Drosophila melanogaster: one gene and its partners. The protein of the gene in region 1 binds, or shares a complex with, the protein of each later gene. Each region holds a gene or a part of one and is shown in the gene's direction. Other genes may lie near its edges.

Region 1 (5,245 bases):
TTCGCCCGCGCCTGAATAGTTTCTATTATACTTCGAATGATTGATGGCCGCCTATGACACGGGCAAATTGGAAACAGGTTTTCGAATGGCTCATTAATATCTACCACCTTTCTCTGCCCCTTTCGCAGATGAGCATCTCGGCGGTGGATCGCAAAGAGCCGGGCAGTGTGAGCAGCGGTCTGGGTAGGCGATACGGGCAGCTGCTCCGTGGAGCCAAGTACACAGATTGCGTGTTCCACGTGTGCGAGGAGCAAGTGAAATGCCACAAGCTCATCCTGAGCTCCGCCAGTCCCGTTTTCGAGGCAATGTTCTTTGGTCCCATGCAAAACAACGAGCCCGAGCCGGAAATCGAAATCCACGACATAAGCTCTGCCATCTTCAAGGTGCTGGTGGAGTACATCTACACGGGCGTCGTTGACTACAATGGCCTGGAGCTGGTGGCCTGCATTGAGCTGTACTACGCCGCTGAGAAGTATCTGCTGGAGGAGCTGATCGCCGACACGCTGATGGTTATCACCCGCAAGCTGCGATTTGCCAATATCTTGCCCGCTCTAGAGCTAAGTGTTTGCATGGGCCTCGACGGGTTGCTGGAGGTCTGCATGACCTTTTTCATGCGATGCTGTGTTAATAATGGACAGTATATGAGCCACCTTAAGGAGCACTATGTGCACGTGTCCAAGGAGTGTGTGAAGGCCATAATAGCGGCGTGCAAGGAACCGCACAAGTTACTCATCTGGTATGTTTATGAGTGGACACGACAGGAGTGCGAGCAGTTGGGTCTGGGTCCCAGCGATGCCGACTTAGTAGTGCACGACTTGGGTGGCAAAACAAGCGACTGGCCTGCGGCTTCGGGTGCTAGTGATTTGGAATCACCTGCCCTAACTCCGGTGGTTTTGGTGGAGCGCTGCTATTACAAGGCCTGCAGGCCCTTTACAGTGGATGCAGAAACTCCGCTGTTTCGCTTGCGTCTAAAGTGCTCTAGATTTATCTCCTTGATGGGCTTGGTCCTGAACAGCAGGCTGACTCCCAACCTATTGGGTCACGTCCAGCAGCTGGAGTACCGCGAATCGCTGCGGCTGGACCTTTGCGAGGTGCCCGCTGAAAGCGAGGGTCCGGCCACGTCGCCCGTATGGAGTCACGTTGTCCAGAGCCAGAATACCAAGTACAACTGCAACCTGCATCTTGGCTGGCGACGCGAAGAGGCCTGTGTGCTGAATCCGGAGCTGACCTATGAGCTGCAGATCCGCTGGGACAGCAGTGCTTACGGCGCCGAGTATCCGTGCAGCCTGCAGTCCTGCCAGGCGGACGGAATTCGGTTCACTGACGAGGACAGCTTCAGCGGAAGTCTCGTCAAGGGACTGCGCTATGCCAACCTGGTGTAGCCACTTCAGCCGCGATATCATAATTAGTTAGTCCGTAAGACGTGTATGTATTTATTGCCCTAAGTTAATGTACGCTGCCTCAGAGTTCAATAAACTGTGAGTAATATCGCTTCAAACACAAGACGTCTGCTGATAAATATAAAAAGCCGGTTTGCAGCCGTTTTTGTTTGGCGAACGAATCGAACTCGATCGGGGAACGGCGTCCTGGCTGCGAATACGGAAACTTATCTCACCTGTTGTTGCGGCCACTAAAAAAAAAAAATCGGTAAAACAATAAACTATAATATAATCACCAGATGTAAACAAAGCGAAATTGAACGAGGGACAGTGTGGCCAACTGGTCATAATAATTCTTGCTTAAATTGGGGCGACCGTAAAATAATTAACAGTGAGAAACTGGCTATTATTTAATAACTTAATTTTTGTTTAAATGATTAATGATTTAAAGCTGCTGCGCTGTAAAAGCTTTATTTGCTGTTCAGAATTAAAATATTAATGAGCACTATCTTAAATCTAAACATAAAAACCAAACATTTTACAGTAACAATGGAATCAAAAATGCAGTGGAAAAGCGCTAAACACCCGCGAAACAGTGCTGTAAAGTTCTTCACAGAGTAGTGTTGGCAGACGCCGGGTGCAAAACAATAATAGTCCGCTTTGGTTTTTGTTTACGCTGCAAAAATGACGATTTTGTACAAAGTGGAGGGCAAGGAGTTCAGCAAGGACAGCGTTTTTCCGCACAAGAAGGTCCTCTGCTCAGTCTCCGCACGGAACATCGTTGCGTTTAGCGCCCTCCAGAGCGCCATATTTCCGGCTTCCCACGGAGGAGATGCCGGCGATGGATCCTTGCCGGGAGCGGGTTTGGCCGTAGGCGCGAGCAACAGCCATGTGTACGTGTGCGACATCGTGACGCCGTGGGAATACTATAAGGTGTGCTCCTCCAAATCGCTTATCAGCGTCCTCCAGTGGAGTCCCAATGGGGAGCAACTGCTGCTTGGATACGTCGGCGGTCGCGTCGAGATCTGGCAGCCGAGGAACCAGTCAATTAACCTATGGGTGCTGCAGTATTACGCCACCGTGCCCAGCGAGGACATTATAGAAGCACAGTTCTTTCAGAATGGCAAAGGAGTGATCTTCAATGCGCTGAAGAAGGATCACACCTACTATGCGGAGAAGTTCGAGCGGGTGGAGCAGCAGAGGCCCACTCTCAGCGGATTTGGCGGAGTGGCCAGCGAGGGATGCGTGCTACTCACTTCCTCAGGCCTGCTGGCCGCCTTCAGTCTCCCCGCAATCCAAAAGACATCCGCCGCAGGAGCTGATGGTCCTGCCCACGAGGTCGTCGAGTTGACACCCGCGCTCCACAGCATCGGCATATCGCGCAGCTTCATCGAACACTGCAGCATGACGCCAAGTCCATCGGGAGCCCTTAATATCGCTTTCAGCTGTGGCTGGCAGCAACAGTTGGTGCAATGCTTTAAGGTCTCGCTTTCATTGGAGGGCGAACTGGGTCTGGAGCAGCACTTGGCCATCAAATCCGAGTCCCAGACCAGCATATTTCTGGGTCCTCTTGACGGGAGGCGGATCAGTCACCTAAAATGGACGCGAATAGCCAACGAGGATGTGATTTTTATAGCCTACGCTTGTCCAGATGGTGCTGGCAGCCAACTGGAGCAATGGACATTGACACGCCGTCACCAAAGTGTCCACGCCCTTCTCCAGGGTGGAGGAGGTGCCAACAACAAGCCAAATGAGTTCGTGCAATCGGAAAGCTGGGAGCAGGTGGGCAAAGTGCAACTAAATGCATCCTTGGCGGATATCAGCGTTACACGACTATCGGTATCAACGCCGGACTCTTGCCAAGTGTACGCCATTCTGCAGGACAACAGCGTCCAGGTGCTGGAGCCCAACTCGATGAAGCAGCTTAATCACACCCAGTTTGATAGGTTATCTGACGCCAGTGGAGCAGTAAAGTTCGTTAGCGGCGACTTGACACCTAGCAGCCAAATTCTCCTAATCTTTGATAGCCATGCACAACTTTACGCCATGCAGGCACCTCTGCCGAAGCAAGGAGGATCTGGTTTGCTACTTCTGGAATATTGCATCGTTACAGGTTGCGATGCCAGCGATGTGCTACTCCTTAATCTAGGCAACCTGGAGGCTCTGGTGGAGAAGCTAACCGACAACTTTACGCGGCAACCTTCCTTTGTGCGGCACTTTTATTATGCTAATTTTTTGGCCCTCAAGTCCAACATATGCCGCATGCAGCAGCAGGAGTTTGACAATCTCATTATCCTACACGCAATATCCACCACATTCAAGAGCCTCCTGCGACCGTCTGATCTGGGTTTCCAGGATAAAGGACCTGCCGATAACTTGGCCATCAAGCTGGCCGAATCCATTCCGGATGTGGACACCGTGATGCTGAACCTGGACGCCAAGGACTTTACAGTGGAGCCGGTGATGCTGCAAAGTCTACAGCAACTGATTCAGTGGGTCACCGACCTGGCACTCAACATGCTGCATCGTCTGCCCGAGGAGGTAATGAAGACCAAGCTCTCCGGAAAGCGGCCTAGCTACGATATCAGCCGAGACATCGTGGCCATCAGCAGTCTGCGCGAGCTGCTGGTTATGATCCGCATTTGGGGCCTGTTAAACACCCAGTGCCTGCCCGTCTACACCAAGACGATGGACAACATCGATGTGCTAGTGATCTTGTTTCGTTTGCTTACTCGCCTGGCCCAGAATCCTGCAGAACCGGACGAAATGCTGCTGGACGAGTGCAGCCTGCTTTCCAAGCAGCTCCTAATTCCCCAGCCCACCAAGTTCAACCCCACCACGCTGCTGAGTGCCCAAGGATTCGCGGCCGTAAAGTCGGGACAGCTGCAGTTCACCTCCATGGAGGAGCCAACTTGCTTGCAGGACATGGAGACGGAGGAGGTGGTCTTCGCCAGCTCTGTGAAGGATGGCGTGAGCAATCTCCAACTGGGCGCCCGACCCAGCCACATTCGGAGATGCGCCCGCTGCGGATTCGTGTTCGTGAATAACGCCAGCAAAGTGGCCAAGACGTCGGCCCTCAAGGCGTGGTTTAGTAAGTGGCTGCACTGCCACTGTGGGGGCTTTTGGAAGCAGGTTCACTAGTAAATCTATGTGAGCAATGACCTTAGTTATTAAGTATGATTTAAGCTTCAAATAAAAGTACATGATTGCCAGCAATTTTAGTGAAATCAAGAAATTTAATATACTAAATATATTTCTTCTTTGCACGACGTGCTCGTTCAAAAAACTTAAGCCACAGAGAAGTCACCACCATACTTCACTATTTCAAAACTAAATTTATTTGAATAAAATATATTTTTTAACTCTATCTATGAATTGTGGTTGGTGTATTTGCTAACGGTTTGATATTAACAACAACAACATATCGAAGAACTTGCATCACTAGCATGTCAATCGATATCAGGACGTCCAATGTGTCTGTCGGCTGTCGGCAATCGATATCTCCTCTGCAAATAGATATTTTCAGAATAATTGGCTTATTTCACTTCGCCCTAACGCTGCAGTAATGGTAAGTGCATCGAGGTGCAACCTGTAGTCGCCAGAAGTCGAAATTCCTAGAGAACCGAGTGCCCCAGGTCCAGGCTTAACCGAGTGCTGAGTGCCCACCCTGTCGACGTCAAAAGAGGGCTGCCTGTGGTGAGAAGCAACGCCCCCCCGGTCCAAATCCCACGTCCATGTATCCCTGGAGCTCCTCCTCGTACGGCGGCCAGATTCCCAGTGCCGCCAACGTCCGGGTAAATACTCCGCCAATCCCAGATTACGAATCTTGGATATGTGTAATCGTTAATCCACTTATCTTCAATTTG
Region 2 (3,265 bases), on another chromosome or scaffold:
TTTTAGAAATCATTAGCGAATGTATCTTGACAAAAGTTTGCAAGCATATCGAATGGAAATTTATCTAATTTGTATTATCTAACTCTTGAATACATTTTTAAACGAAATGAAGTGAAAATCGTTGAAGAAACCGTCCAATTAATTTATGCAAATAATGAATCTGCATAGTTTGTAAGTTTTATACGTATATACGCCTTCATATGAACCACAATTAGTTTATAAATTCCCAACACAAATCTCACATAGCCATGTACATGAAGCTACTAAGCGAGAAACAAGGAAATTTTTGTACACAACTTAAGAATGTCGCTCCTTTCCGTACCATAAGAATCGAATCGAATCTCTATGAAGTGTCTTGTGTTTTCTTTTGTAATAAACGAAACCTGAAAATAAATAAAAGTAATGTTTATCCAAATGTGTTTTCTTTTCATGGAATGTGTTGGTACACTTCAGAATTTGTGGATTTGAATATTTTTCCCAAATTCCAGGAATGGGTACAAAAATGTATAAAAATTCAAATTACTTACAAATTTATTATTAATTCAAAGAATAGAATGAAATGGATTACAAGACATTAATATATAAAAATTTATTTAAAATAACAACAGTTTTTTTTAAATAAAAATTAATTTGCTTAGTAAGGCCAAAATAAAATCTTACAATTTCTATGAATTTACCCATGGAAATTATTAATTAAGTTGTTTCATTTCACATTTTATACTAAAAAAGTTAAGGTAAATATATTAAAAATATTGTAGTTATGGAATATAACTAAGCTAAACAAAAACATTTGGATGTGTAGAAACAACTACGTCTTGCGAAAACTTAGTAAAATAGGTGATATCGCCTCCAGGCAGTCCATAATGTCCTTGCGCGACTTGGCGCCCGTAAATACAACCTTTCCGTTGACGAAGATCAGGAGAACGATGCGCGGCTTGACCATGCGATAGATTAGGCCTGGAAACATCTCCGGTTCGTAGGAACTAAACTGCCCGTGCACGTGGTTGAGGTTCTCCAGGCGGATGGGGAAGCGCAGATCAACGGTGGCCACAATATTCTGCAGCTTGTATTCCATGAACTTTACGGGGAATCCCAGCTTCTGCAGGATGCGTGCGAACTTTCGCGATCCAATGTCCGCCTCAATCTCGTTTCGTGCACCCGTGCAGATGACCTTGCCCGTTCGAAAGATTAGCGCTGTGCACCTGGGCGAGTGCATTCGCATGATGACGCCACGAAAGCGCTTGGGCGAGTACTCCGAGTTCCTCGTACGCGAGTTGATTGCCTTGAGGTCCAGTTCACAGTTCACCGAGAAGGTGGCCACGATATTCCTGCAAGTTATGGATGTATCAATGGGTTTCTATTTATTTCATGAAGTGCCTCTGAAAAGTGGTCAACCAACTGCAATCGTATCTCATGTTGTGCATCCTTGGGCTCCACCAGGGCAACGGGCTGTTGCGGCTGCAGGGCTGCGTGCGGATTGGCGGCAGCATTGCTGGTCGCAGCCACATTATCCCTGTCCCTTTCAGCGTCCGCGACTTTAAAGTGAAACTGCATTGCCGAAAATTATAAACAAATCCGCACGCGACGTGGCCAGTGTTGTCCTATTTTATTGCTGACGAAAATTGTATGCCGGTTTGGTATTTTTATTTGTCTAACTTTTCTCATGACTAAAAAGTCAGCACTGGTCACACTGGACGCTTTTAGCTTGCAAGACTTGTAAACAAAATTAATAAAACTAAAAAGCTGACATTATTGCATAAACTATGGGAGTAACTATCCTTCAACCGTATCCCTTACCCGAAGGCAAATCGGGTGCCCACATAATCGATCAGCTGAGCAAGCGTCTGCTCGCCCTGGGCGCCACACATGCCGGTCAATTTCTGGTGGACTGCGAAACGTTCATCTCGACGCCACAGCCGCACAATGGAGCACCTGGACGCGCAGTCCACGTCCTGCACAACTCCGAGTATCCCGCCTCCACGTTCTCGATCATCGACAATGGCACCGGCAAACAAGTGGCCATTGTCGCCGACAATATCTTCGATCTGCTCATGCTCAAGATGACCAACACCTTCACCTCCAAAAAGCAGACCAAAATCGAGTCCCGTGGCGCTCGTTTCGAGTATGGTGACTTTGTTATCAAACTCGGTTCCGTCACCATGATGGAGCACTTCAAGGGCATCCTCATCGAAATCGAGTACAAGTCATGCGTGATTCTGGCCTACTGCTGGGAAATGATACGCGAAATGCTGCAGGGATTCCTCGGCATTGCTGTGAATAAGGACTTTCCCTCCTATTTCGCTCCACAGACAATAATGACGGCAATGGGGCAACAGCAGCTGCATGCCAAGCACAACGACATCTTTGAGCCAATGGACACCGTGAAACAATACCTGGAGCAGTTCACCAACTATAGGAAGCATGTGACTCTTATGGGCGGTATGGGCAGTGGACCGGGTAGCCAACAGGTTGGTCCGAACGTGCATATGTCGCCGGCGGTGGCGGGACTACATCGATCCTGATCCGCCGACGTCAAGCTGGAGCCACCGGATGAGCCTGCAGCCGATTAAGATGTTTAGAAGATAATTTAAACAAAAAAAATATACATATGTCACTAATATTTAATAATTAAATAATCATTATTTTAAAGCTAGCATCACTAGTTTGCTTTACATATTTTAGACGAATAAACAAAACATTTATTAGCTTGTCCAAATACGTTTAAAATATTATAGTTATATATATATATATATATATATTTTGTGCAGTGTACAGTTTTTTTCATATATTGGTTATTCACTACTTTTTTATGTATTTTTAAAACAGCTGATTGGAATAATGATTAAAGCTGTGTGGTATCCCTGCTCGCACGGCATTTTACCGTTAATGAAATCTGGCCACACAGTAGGCCGAGTACTCAGTACTATCGGGCAAATTGACGAGATTATTTAAACAATAATGTCGGCCCACAGCGGCGGAACGGATTGGAATTCCGTTGTTAAAGCCCTGATACTTAACCGTACAGGAGCCTTAAACAAGAACGAAGTTGTTAATTTGCTCAAAGCTATCACGCGATGGTAAGTACAAACGATCATCTAGAACTTTTCGCCTACCGAATGGCGTAGTGAAAAATTTTCTGCTAGTGCAAAAAGTGACTTGCAAAATTAAATATGGCCGCTCCGGTGACGAAATAGCAAAAAGCTTTGAAAATTCTTTAATATCGAGAACTAACAACGCTCTATTCCGATATTTGCATAGCGAACAT
Region 3 (7,767 bases), 710 kb from region 1:
GGAGCACTTCTCTCAATCTGGACACGGAATCGCGCCCTACTTTGTCCGGCCTTGACGACATCTACCGCCCCACCCTGGACTGTAAGCTCATCTAATTCTTCGCATTCCCTATTATGATTCTGTACATTCTCCTTCCCAGCAGCTGGTTCAATGCTGGAGGCAGAGTTGCCCTTGGAGCCGTCTAAGCCGGGCCAGTCTTACGAGGACCTGCGACGAAGGAACCGAGAAGAGTATTCGAAGCACCAGCAGAGTCCATACTCGCGACCTTACGAACCACCAGTTGCCGTTCAACAGCGACCCGTGGAGCAGGCACAAAGTGAACCCGCTGGAAGGAAGAACCAATACGGCGACTCCTGGACTGATTAAGGTATTGTTATTTTGTTGGACATTAAACGCGCATAAAGTTCTGTGAAAATTCGTTGTCTATTTACATTTTTTTTTGGGGTTGGAATATTCAATTACTTTCTAGCCTGGTCGTAGTTTTCTATGTACCACTTAACCGAGGCGTTGATTGCCGTTTCCAAGTCCGTAAATGCGTAGTCTGGCAGGAAGGAGCGAAGCTTGGCATTAGACGCAGTCTTTTTGTACTGTCCATCCGACTTGCTCGTATCACAGACCAGTCTTCCCTGGAATAAATCAAGTTAATATCTTGCCTTGTCTCAAATTTCGCTTTTTAACCCACATTAAAATTAAATGCTTTTGCAACGGCTTGGGCCACCTCGAAGATCGTCACCTCCTGCACTTCGTCCGCGCTTAGGATGATGGGCTCCACACTTTCGTAGTTCCTGAGCACCCAGATCATCAGCTCCGCCAGGTCCCGGGAGTATACAAACTGCCGTAGTGGCATGCCGCTTCCGAAAACGGTGAACACCTTGTCGTTTTCGGGGACGTCAGTCTTCTCCGTAACCAGCTGGTGCATCCTATAGATCATGCCCGGAATAACGTGGCTGACCTCTGGATTATAGTTGTCGTGGGGACCGAATATGTTGCACGGAATGACCGAGGTGTACACCCGGCCATATTTATCGTGGTAGGCGTGGTTCTGCACGTCTATCAGTCGCTTTGCGTAGGAGTAACCATAATTGGAGGGGTGCGGCGGCCCATTGTGCACCATGGTCTCATCTATGGGGTAGCTGGTTTTGTCCGGAAAAATGCATGTGGACAGGCAGGACACCACCTTCACGCATCCCTGCTCGTGTGCCGTTTGCAGGACATTGTCGTTAATGAGCAGGTTGTTGCGCTAAAAGTGGATTCGCATGAAATGGGTTTTGGAATCATCTGTGAGACCAGGAGCTCACCAAGAAGTCCAGGTTGTTGTTCATGTTGTGGAACAGGCCTCCGACCATTGCAGCCAGATGGATGACATGCGTGGGCTTCTCTCGGGCGAAGAGTGCCTGCGTGGCGGCCAGATTTCTGTGGAGAGAATTTGTTTACGGATACGTTCAATTGAATTTCTTCATGACTTACGTCAAATCTGCATCTTTAGAGCCCGCAAAAAACCATTGCTCGTCCTCTGGGGACTGCTCCTTGATCACAGCCTCCAGGGCCTTGCCCACCAGCCCAGTTCCGCCTGTAACCAGAACTTTCTTCATGATTTTTGTGCGATTCCACAAATCAAGTCAATTAGTTTCTAAAGTAATTTTCGACTCAATGCGACCAGCTGCTTTAAATGCCGGCTAATCAGTCAGTGCTGCCTGCCTGGCGTTTTTAATCTAATCCTTTAGCTATTTCTTGTTATCAGAAAAAGCCACTTTTAGATTCTTTACTAAGCCCCATTTGGTCACACTGTGCCCAGGTAGTTTTTGTTTATGCGGTGTCGGATATGCGAAAAATAATTTAAATGGATATGGAAACGCAAGTTATAGACACCGTTAACGAGTTTCTGGTAATAGTGAAACCCTGCGTCTCCAAAAAATCACCCACTCATCCACGCTCTCCATTTCGCAGAAGGTCGACTCCCTTGACGAGGCGTTCGTTAGCGTCATTGTATTCAAGCCAAACACCGAGCAAGAACGAGCTACCCGCTTCGCCAATGATTTGGGTAGGTAAATGCGTCTGCTGGAACTCGAAAATTGTTAAAAACTATCTGTTTCAGTTACCGCCTTTGGGAACGTGGCGCAGGAGAACCGGGAGCAGGTGCTTCGGCTCTACCTGTTGCGTGCCGCCGGTGCCTCCGGATATCACATCAAAGTGCTGATGGCGGCACTGGTGAAGCTGGTGGACGCACACGTGATCACCGCCAGGATGCTGTGCGACAAGGTGCTGATGTGCGAGAAACTGGACTTCGAGCACAGGACCTTCTGGATCGAGAGCTTCCGGCTGATCAAGCGTGTGATCGTCCAGGTGGACTACAAGGGTGTGCGCGAGATCATGAAGGTATGCCGCGACAAGGCACAATGGTTTCCGCTGAACGTCAACGTTACCTACATGCCACAGCTACTGGCCGTTGAGGATATCCTGCGATTCATCTTTGATCGCAACAATTGCCTGCTGCCCGCCTACTTTATTGCCAACGAGATTATGCGTCCGTTTCCTTACCACTGGAAACTCAACCGGCTGATGACCGACTTTGTCGAAGAGTTCCGCACCACGGCACAAATGGTTTCGATCATTGGACATGCCAGCATGCTTCCCATCGTAGAGCATTTCGGCTATGCCGATCACATGATGAACTCCTGGCGACTGGACCACAATACCCTGAAGTTTAACTTTAAGGGTAGCCTGCCCTACGAGCCAGAGCTGCTCGAAGAGCAGAAGCCCCTACTCCGCTACGTTTTGGAGCAGCCGTACTCAAGGGAAATGGTCTCTCAAATGCTGAACCTGCAAAAGCATCAGAAGCAGCGCTACAATGCCCTGGAAGAGCAGTTGGTTAATCTCATAGTGCAGGCCATGGAGATGACGGAGGCGAATGATGCCACTGCGGGAAGTGGCTTTAACTCCTCAGACGAGCAGATCACGCCCTACGAGTGGATGTGGCTGCATCTCTCTTCGCAACTAATTTACTTTGTGCTCTTTCAGTTCGTAAGCTTTATGCACATAGTGTTGGCGCTCCACGAAAAGGTAGGTCCATGGTGGATGAAATTAATATTTCTTGTAATTAACTACTTTTCACCTATAGCTTTCCAAGTTGGAGCTTCGCAAGGGTCGCGATCAACTTATGTGGATTCTGTTGCAGTTTATATCCGGAAGCATACAGAAAAATCCTGTAAGATCCTGTTCTCCACCTGATTGATCTTATTTTTAATCGCTTTTAATTTTAGATCACCAATTTCCTGCCTGTGTTCAGATTGTTTGACCTACTATATCCCGAGCTAGAGCCTCTTAAGCTGCCAGATATCAATAAATCCTCGATGGTTCGCCATATGGCACCCATTTGCGTTTGGATTCACCTGATGAAGAAGGCACGAGTGGAAAACATGAACATCACCAGACCATTGCCAATTGCACTGAAAAACCACTACGAGTAATACCTCTAACTTCCTTTGGTGTTTAGATACTAACTGCTTAATTCCCAGCTTTCTGCAGCACCTAGTCACGGCTAACACCATGATGAACATGACGCTAGGAAACGACTTCCGCATAATTCTCATCTGCAATGCATACTCAACGAATCAGGAGTACTTCGGGCGTCCCATGGGTCTACTGCTGGATGCCCTAAATGGCACTTCAAAATCTCCAAACGGTGGCCAAATCCCAGCCGTAACTTTTTCGGTCACGGTTCTGGACAGCTTGACGGTGCACAGTAAGATGTCGTTAATCCACAGCTTCGTAACTCAGATGTTAAAACAGGCCCAAAGCAAGGGTCAAGTTCCAGCGGCTGCACTACTGGAAACTTATGCCAGACTTCTGGTTTATACAGAAATCGAGTCGCTCGGTATAAAGGGATTCCTGAGTAAGTACAGCCTGTTGAAGTGATTAAACAATATGTTTATGGTTTTTTTTCCTCCTAAAGGCCAACTGATGCCAACAGTGTTTAAGAACCATGCGTGGGCCATGCTGCACACCTTAATGGAGATGTTTTCGTACCGGCTGCACCATGTTCCTACTCACTACCGGGTCCAATTGCTGTCTCTCCTTCATTCTCTGTCCTCCGTGCCGCAGACAAACAAGATGCAGCTCAATCTCTGGTTAGTTATACGTTTATCGAGTATAGACTTCTTTCTAAGTTCTTCCCTTTGTATAGTTTTGAATCTACTGCACTGCGTCTGATCACCAGCATTGGATCCGCCGAGTTTCAGCCGCAGTTTTCGCGTTACTTTAACGACAAATCTCCCGGAGCAGTGGCGTCTAATGAGAGCGAAGAGCTAAACAGAGTACTTATTCTTACGCTAGCTCGATCCATGCACGTACATGGTGGCGGCGATGAAATGCAGGGATGGTGCAAGGACTTCCTTTCCAACATCATTCAGCACACGCCGCACTCGTGGCCCATGCATTCCCTAGCCTGCTTTCCGCCCGCCTTAAACGAGTACTTTACGCAGAACAACCAACCTCCGGAGAACAAGCAGCAGTTGAAGAAGGCCGTGGAAGAGGAATATCGAACCTGGACGTCGATGACCAACGAGAATGACATAATTGCGCACTTCTTGCGTCCAACTACGAATCCTTTATTCCTTTGCCTTCTGTTCAAAATAATTTGGGAGACGGAGAACATAAGCCCAGTGGCTTACAAGTGCGTAACATTATGATTTAAACACAATCATTTTTTCTGACCATACCTTTTTTTTTAGAATTTTGGAGGGTATAAGCGCGAGAGCCTTGTCCACTCATCTGCGTAAATTTTGTGACTACTTGGTGGCTGAGGTAGCTAGCTCATCGGATGGCCGCGACTTTATTCACAAGTGCGTCGACACCATTAACAACATGATTTGGAAGTTCAACGTTGTGACCATCGATAGGGTTGTGCTTTGCCTGGCTCTGCGAACGCACGAGGGTAACGAGGCTCAAGTCTGCTTTCTCATAATTCAGCTGCTCTTGCTGAAAGCCAGCGAGCTGAGAAATCGTGTTCAGGAGTTCTGCAAGGACAATAATCCTGATCACTGGAAGCAGAGCAACTGGTAAGTTGGACACTTGATTTTGTTAAGAGCACAAAGGCATAGTTGTTATTATTTCTCAGGCAGGACAAACACTTGTCATTCCATCAAAAGTATCCAGAGAAGTTCGCGTTGGACGAGTCAGCTTCACAGATTCCGCTGCCCGTGTACTTCAGCAATGTCTGTCTGCGATTCCTTCCCGTTCTGGATGTGGTAGTGCACAGATTTATCGAACTTACCATTACAAATGTCCACCAGATATTGGGCTTCATTTTGGATCATCTGAGCATACTCTACAAGTTTCACGGTATGTTAAAAGTGGCTTTCGAGAATTTCATAACTTTAAATTACCCTTTAAATTGCAGATCGACCTATAACATATCTGTACAACACCCTCCATTATTATGAGCGAATCTTACGAGACCGCCCTGCGCTAAAGAAGAAACTTGTAAGATTTGTTATGAATATTATATTCCCTTCTTCTAATACACTGTGTTGTTCCAGGTTGGCGCTATCACCAGCGCCTTTAGCGAGATTCGGCCGCCCAACTGGAGTGTTAGTGAGCCGTACAAGGTGTATTTGCAAAGCCAAGACTCGCTGTGGACCCCCGAATTGAGCTACTATATGAGTTTGATCAGGAGACTTGCAGACAGTAAGCTAGGATTTGGGAAAATACTATGATGTGTTCATATATTCATGCGTAACCCCTTTTATTTTGCAGCAATTAGTGGGAAGAATGTATTTTACTCCACCGATTGGCGTTTTAACGAGTTCCCGAATGCGCCAACCCATGCGCTCTATGTGACATGCGTGGAGCTGCTGGGTCTGCCGGTGGCACCGCCACTGGTGGCCAGCAATCTCATCGATGTTATAGTAAGCGGATATGCGGTTATTCCGCAAAAGGACATTCACAGCTACATTAATGCTGTGGGCATTGTTCTGGCTGCCTTGCCTGAGCCCTACTGGAGCGGCATATACGATCGCCTACAGGATATGCTCAACACACCCAATATGCTGAACTGGACCTACAGATTCAATGCTTTCGAGTTGTTTAACTTCAAGACAGTGCGTGAGGCGATGCTAGAAAAGACCTACGCCGTGGTGTTGGCAGTAGCTCACTCAGTGTTCCATCACATGGGCGCCTTTAAGCTGGCGGCAATGACCAGGTACCTCAAGGAGAAGCTAAAGCCGTGCGTGCGAACCGAACAACAATTGCTGTATTTGTGCCACGTTTTTGGCCCCTTCCTGCAACGAATAGAGTTGGAAAAACCGAACGCTGTGGCTGGCATAGCCGTGTTGCTTTACGAAATTCTTGAGATCGTGGACAAGCATCATGGTCCGAAGCCTCTGCAGTACATGGACCAGATCTGCGATTTCCTGTAAGCAAATCCACAAAATCGCATGAAAGGGTACTAAACAAATGTGTTTGTATCATTTCAGCTATCACATTAAGTATATACATGTGGGTAATATCATTAAGAACGAATCGGAAGCCATCATTAAGCGGCTACGGCCCCTGCTGCAAATGCGCCTGAGGTTCATAACCCACCTTAACTTGGAGGATATTCACACTGAAAAGATGTAAGGGCCATTTAATTCAAACTCTACTTCGGTTTAAACATAACTTTTCCAATTTCAGCAACGACAATACCAGCAATAATGCAATAACCAGCCAAACGCAGTCTCCAATGCAAACACAGCATCAGCAGCAGCCGCAGCAACCACATCAGCAACAACAGCAGCAACAACAACAGCAACAGCAGCAGCAGCAGCAGCAACAGCAGCAACAACAGATGCAGCAGCAACAAATCAACGCAGTACAAACAACCAGCGTTCCCTTGGGCAGCGGTGGCAACCTACAGCAGCAGCAGCAAATCAACCAGCAGCAACAAATGTATATGCAGCACATGCAGCAGCATCAGCACATGCAAAACATGCGCCACAATTAGACTTTGTGGGACTCCCAAGTCAGTTCAAGCTGACATAACGACATAAGCCTAATTTATAGTAGTATTATCTTATATTTTATCGCTTATTGCATTATTCATTTTCCATTGAATGTGTAAACAGTTCTCAGATATGTTTAAGTTAGATACTAAGGGAACTTTTTGTAAGTCACAGCTGTCGGCCCAAGTCCTCCCTCCAGCTTTACAATCAAAAGCTTGACTTAATAAGCCCAGCTTAAAGCTCTTCGTAGATAACCTGTAGTTGGTGATCTTGTCCACCTCGAGCGCCGTTCTCAGTTGTGATCGCAGAGCACTGCGATGTATGCGCTTCCGGGAATCCAGATTCTGTTGCTGATTGCTTCAGTCAGCGTGGTGACCGAGTACTGCGACAATGGAACGGGCGAGTGCAAGGAGCTGACGCCCTCCGACTGTCCAGTGATATTCTACAACCAGCACCTGATCGGAGCCGAAGTCAAGTACTGCGACGAGTTCAACGACATTGTCTGCTGTCCCATACCGCTGGATCACCAGAATCTGAAGCCAGCCGAACAGACGAGGCCTTTTGAGAAGCGTGAGGAGTGACTGCAACAATTCCCTTCGATTGATGGAATTTGAATATTCGTTTTTTTTTTTTAGAGTGCAAGCAATACAACGAGGTCAGATCCGCCTGCCAGTCCACGCCCTTCATCGTGGGCGGCACAAAGGCATCCGGTAAAGAGTTTCCCTTCATGGCCCTAATCGGCACTCATCGGCCCAACAAGTCCAAGTCGGACATCAATTGGGATTGT
Region 4 (3,466 bases), 1.9 Mb from region 1:
AGGGCATCGTGGCTATTGTTGGGCGATCGTGGCATTGGCGGCGAGCGAGGTCCACCACGGCGATCCATGCCACTGTGCATAGCCATGGGCGGTGAACGACGACGCGGAGGTGGTGAAAGCGGTGGCGATTTGCGCAAACGCGACCGACTGCGTGAGTGCGGCGAACGAGAGCGTCCGTAACGCTGCGACGGAGGCGGTGGACCTGGCGGCGGTCCACCTGTGGGCGGATAACGACCGTAGGGCGGTGCTCCACCCTCACGACCTTCGCGACCGTCGCGTTCGCTCTCTCCAGAGCTGCTCTCCCCCTGGATGTACATCTTCTTGTAGCCCGTGTGGCGCCATCGGTTTGGATCCTTCTCCTCTGCCTCGATCAGCTTCTTGTCCCAATAATCGTTGGTGGTGTTGGCGCGCGCCTTCTTCATCACGTTGTCGATCTCGCGTCGCTTTCCAGCGGGTAATGAGGGATCTGCAAGGTTGAGAGGTAAAAGGTAAGCTTCGATTGGCAGGGTGGTGGGCGGTGCTTTGTTCCGGGAAGCCCCTAAGACGGGCTGATGGGTTTATGGGCCCTTAGACATCGCTAATCCCGGCGAGGTAATTGGGTTTTCCCACTTCTATGCAGTTGCTTGCTGGTAGTTGGTAGAAGTTTCAGTTCAGGTACCTGTTATGCGGGCAGCTGTCGGCTGCCTGTCCATGTGCAGTTTTGGATTCAGTTCGGCGCGCCTGCGCGACGCCATCGCGAGATTTCGGATTTCTATCGCTTTGGCAACTATGTATATGTATATATATCGCGCGACAGATATATGTATGTATGTACTCGGGTTTCAATGTTTATTACCCCCAATCGGTTAGGGTTTGGTTTACTGTTTCGGATTCGGTTTGGCGAACGCGACAACACACTTTACCATTTCAAAAACATACACAACAAGCTGCAAATATATTACAATTGAATATAGAAACATGTAAAGAGAGCATTAGAAATGGCTAACACAAAGCAACAACAATATCAGGAGCGGAGTTATACAGAATGGGAATAGAGCGGAGAGACCTGAAAACGCAGAGAGAATCGCGGACGCGCTCCGGCTGTCATTTAACCCATATCACGCCGCGGGGGTCGGGGACCTGTGGTCCCAATCAAAATCGTGCGAGAGAGCCGATTTTTAATCGGCTTGCGCGTATATCTTTTCACATATGCATTTTGAATTTCTTCCATTTTTCACACATACACTCACACCAGCACCAATATATTTGCCTTGTCAGCACGAGAGGAATGCAGAGCGAGACAGAGAGAGAGTGTGAGGCAAAAGTTGGCGATACTCCCGACGGCAGCAACTAAATTTCGAATTTCAGCTCTGGCAATTATGTAAACGATGTAAAACAGGCACTAAAATAATTTGCTTACATTTGGCGACGTTTGCGGGCACGCTTTACGATATTTCGTGAGCTGTTAACGTTTTATTGGCAAATGAAAAACACGGCGTTGCGTTCACTTCAATTTTTCTCGACGGCCATGTTGGTAGTATCGATATGCCGGGGCACAATCGATGGCTTGGCTTCAATAGTCTAAGGACTGTTCAGAGTCTGATGAACTCGAGTCAGTTTATATATTTTAATAATAAATATTGTGTTATTTCAAGAGGCGCTCGTAGTTGAAAACACTATTCGTTTTGGGAATGTTTTATATATTAGACTATTTAAATCATATCATATTGTTTTGACATTATTTTAAGTATGCATTAACGATTCTGCTAATTATTGCAAAAATAAAAGTTATTAGTTCTATTTAAATTAAAACAGAAACAAATAATAACGATCAATTATTAGTTATTGGTGAGCATTAATTCATTTTTTATTGTTCAGTTTCCTTAATTGACCATATGATTTTAATTTTAGGATCTGAATGTAGTGTGGACGCCAGTTTGCTGCTATCGCAAACGTTATCGATAGTACGGTGTTGCAGTATTTTATTACACCCGACTAACAAATGATAATAAGCAGATCCACGGTCACACTTTCCACTTTGTGTCCATCCGACTGAAGTTAAAAATAATAGTTTAATTGGGAGTTTCCAAAATGCAGCGCGACGAAAAGCTTTTTGAGCTGACGCTGGATACGGTCCTTCAGCGTCTGAACGACCTGAAGCTGGCGGTTCTCTCGATGATCCAAAAACTTGAGCTAGAGTACGAGACCATCAACTGGCCGACTTTCCTGGACAACTTTGCCATTATCTCAAGTCACTTGACGGGATTGACGAAAATCTTGGCAAAGGAGCAGTGTCCGCCGCTAAGAAATCGAACGGTCCTGCCCCTTCTGGTCTCCATGGACCGGGATGACACCCTCATCAACATCACAGAGGGTCGGGTGCCAGTCTTTTCACACGACATTGTTCCAGACTATTTGAGAACTCGGCCGGATCCGATTACGGAACAGAAAATGCTGCAGAACGAACAGAAGGCGGCGAACCTCACCAACGACGCTGCCATGAAACAGGTCACTCAATACAACAAGGTCGTCTCCCACGTCCTGGATATGGTCAGCAAAGCGCGCGAGGAGTGGGAAATCGAGAGCTCTTCGCGCACCGGCATCCAGCAGACGAGTAGCATGGCCGACACACAGCTCCTGGTGGCCGCCGTGGGTATGGGAAAAGGACTCAAGCTGACCAACTATGGACCCGGACCTGGCATGATGGTACCGCCTTCAATTCGAGCACCCTCGCCAATGGGTGGACCCGCTATGAGTCCCGGCAACGTGCAGCAGCAGCTGGGAAAGGCGCCATCGGCTGTGAAAACAAACATCAAGTCCGCAAATCAAGTGCATCCGTTCTCTCGATAAAAAACATCAGTTTATTAGCTATTATCGGTTCCATCTGGCGGAATGTTTCGTCGTAATAAGTTATATGTATATTCCTAATTCTAAAACTAGGATTACGCAAACATAAACATGAACAAATTTAAATGGATCGTCTCCTCCGACTCAGACTTCTTATGTTGCTGGCTGTGCGTGCTTCTCATTGATGAGAATCTCGTGCAGCTTAATATCTTTCGGCGTGGAGGTGTCCACCAGCTCCAGGCACAGCGCTCGTCCGCCATCCTTTTGTTTAGTCATTCGCCGCACAATGCCAATAAACTTCTGACCCAGCGACAGTTCCCGGAATCGGACGCAGTTCTCCTTGCTCCATACTACATCAGTCAGTTGTATGCCTGAAAGAAGATCGTTTTTAGTTCTAACGCCAAACTGCTGAAGTTCTCTTGAACTTGCCATAAAGTTGTGCTGGCAATGCCATCTTGGGCAGCTTTCTTAACTCCGGATTTAGAGTTTTCAGTTGATCACAGGCAATTACTCCATCGTCGCCCACGTCGACGAAACGCACGTGTATAATCTCATCGTAAATCTTGTGAATACTTACGCTGCAAGATTAACAGATTTAGTCTGCGTTTTTATTGCAAGACCTGAATAAGTTCTTACCGAT

What was found.
Region 2: MED16 (region 1) and MED20 share a complex: the UniProt entries of both Drosophila melanogaster proteins name them as parts of the mediator complex.
Region 3: MED16 (region 1) and MED23 share a complex: the UniProt entries of both Drosophila melanogaster proteins name them as parts of the mediator complex.
Region 4: MED16 (region 1) and MED8 share a complex: the UniProt entries of both Drosophila melanogaster proteins name them as parts of the mediator complex.

Annotation. Positions count from the first base shown.
Region 1 is NT_033778.4:22,181,148-22,186,392, forward strand, and holds MED16 (mediator complex subunit 16), read left to right. Parts: upstream 1-1,990; 5' UTR 1,991-2,063; coding exon 2,064-4,520; 3' UTR 4,521-4,745; downstream 4,746-5,245. Other genes in the region: CG11275 (uncharacterized protein), read left to right, coding at 129-1,382; Vps35 (vacuolar protein sorting 35), read left to right, coding at 5,114-5,173. UniProt on the Drosophila melanogaster protein: Component of the Mediator complex, a coactivator involved in the regulated transcription of nearly all RNA polymerase II-dependent genes.
Region 2 is NT_033779.5:8,071,260-8,074,524, reverse strand, and holds MED20 (mediator complex subunit 20), read left to right. Parts: upstream 1-1,676; 5' UTR 1,677-1,763; coding exon 1,764-2,522; coding exon of another isoform or gene 2,523-2,570; 3' UTR 2,571-2,713; downstream 2,714-3,265. Other genes in the region: Trf (TBP-related factor), read right to left, coding at 809-1,328, 1,400-1,554; poe (purity of essence), read left to right, coding at 2,959-3,077, 3,259-3,265. UniProt on the Drosophila melanogaster protein: Component of the Mediator complex, a coactivator involved in the regulated transcription of nearly all RNA polymerase II-dependent genes.
Region 3 is NT_033778.4:22,887,168-22,894,934, forward strand, and holds MED23 (mediator complex subunit 23), read left to right. Parts: upstream 1-1,760; 5' UTR 1,761-1,846; coding exon 1,847-1,885; intron 1,886-1,947; coding exon 1,948-2,041; intron 2,042-2,095; coding exon 2,096-3,060; intron 3,061-3,118; coding exon 3,119-3,205; intron 3,206-3,260; coding exon 3,261-3,463; intron 3,464-3,515; coding exon 3,516-3,892; intron 3,893-3,952; coding exon 3,953-4,127; intron 4,128-4,183; coding exon 4,184-4,672; intron 4,673-4,730; coding exon 4,731-5,057; intron 5,058-5,116; coding exon 5,117-5,340; intron 5,341-5,398; coding exon 5,399-5,481; intron 5,482-5,537; coding exon 5,538-5,685; intron 5,686-5,754; coding exon 5,755-6,412; intron 6,413-6,473; coding exon 6,474-6,614; intron 6,615-6,672; coding exon 6,673-6,982; 3' UTR 6,983-7,258; downstream 7,259-7,767. Other genes in the region: asrij, read left to right, coding at 1-81, 140-366; Gmer (GDP-4-keto-6-deoxy-D-mannose 3,5-epimerase/4-reductase), read right to left, coding at 459-626, 683-1,240, 1,299-1,413, 1,468-1,592; CG3700 (uncharacterized protein), read left to right, coding at 7,298-7,550, 7,616-7,767. UniProt on the Drosophila melanogaster protein: Component of the Mediator complex, a coactivator involved in the regulated transcription of nearly all RNA polymerase II-dependent genes.
Region 4 is NT_033778.4:20,325,327-20,328,792, reverse strand, and holds MED8 (mediator complex subunit 8), read left to right. Parts: upstream 1-1,986; 5' UTR 1,987-2,070; coding exon 2,071-2,829; 3' UTR 2,830-2,949; downstream 2,950-3,466. Other genes in the region: CG8929 (uncharacterized protein), read right to left, coding at 1-466, 659-734; tapas, read right to left, coding at 2,980-3,197, 3,256-3,404, 3,463-3,466. UniProt on the Drosophila melanogaster protein: Component of the Mediator complex, a coactivator involved in the regulated transcription of nearly all RNA polymerase II-dependent genes.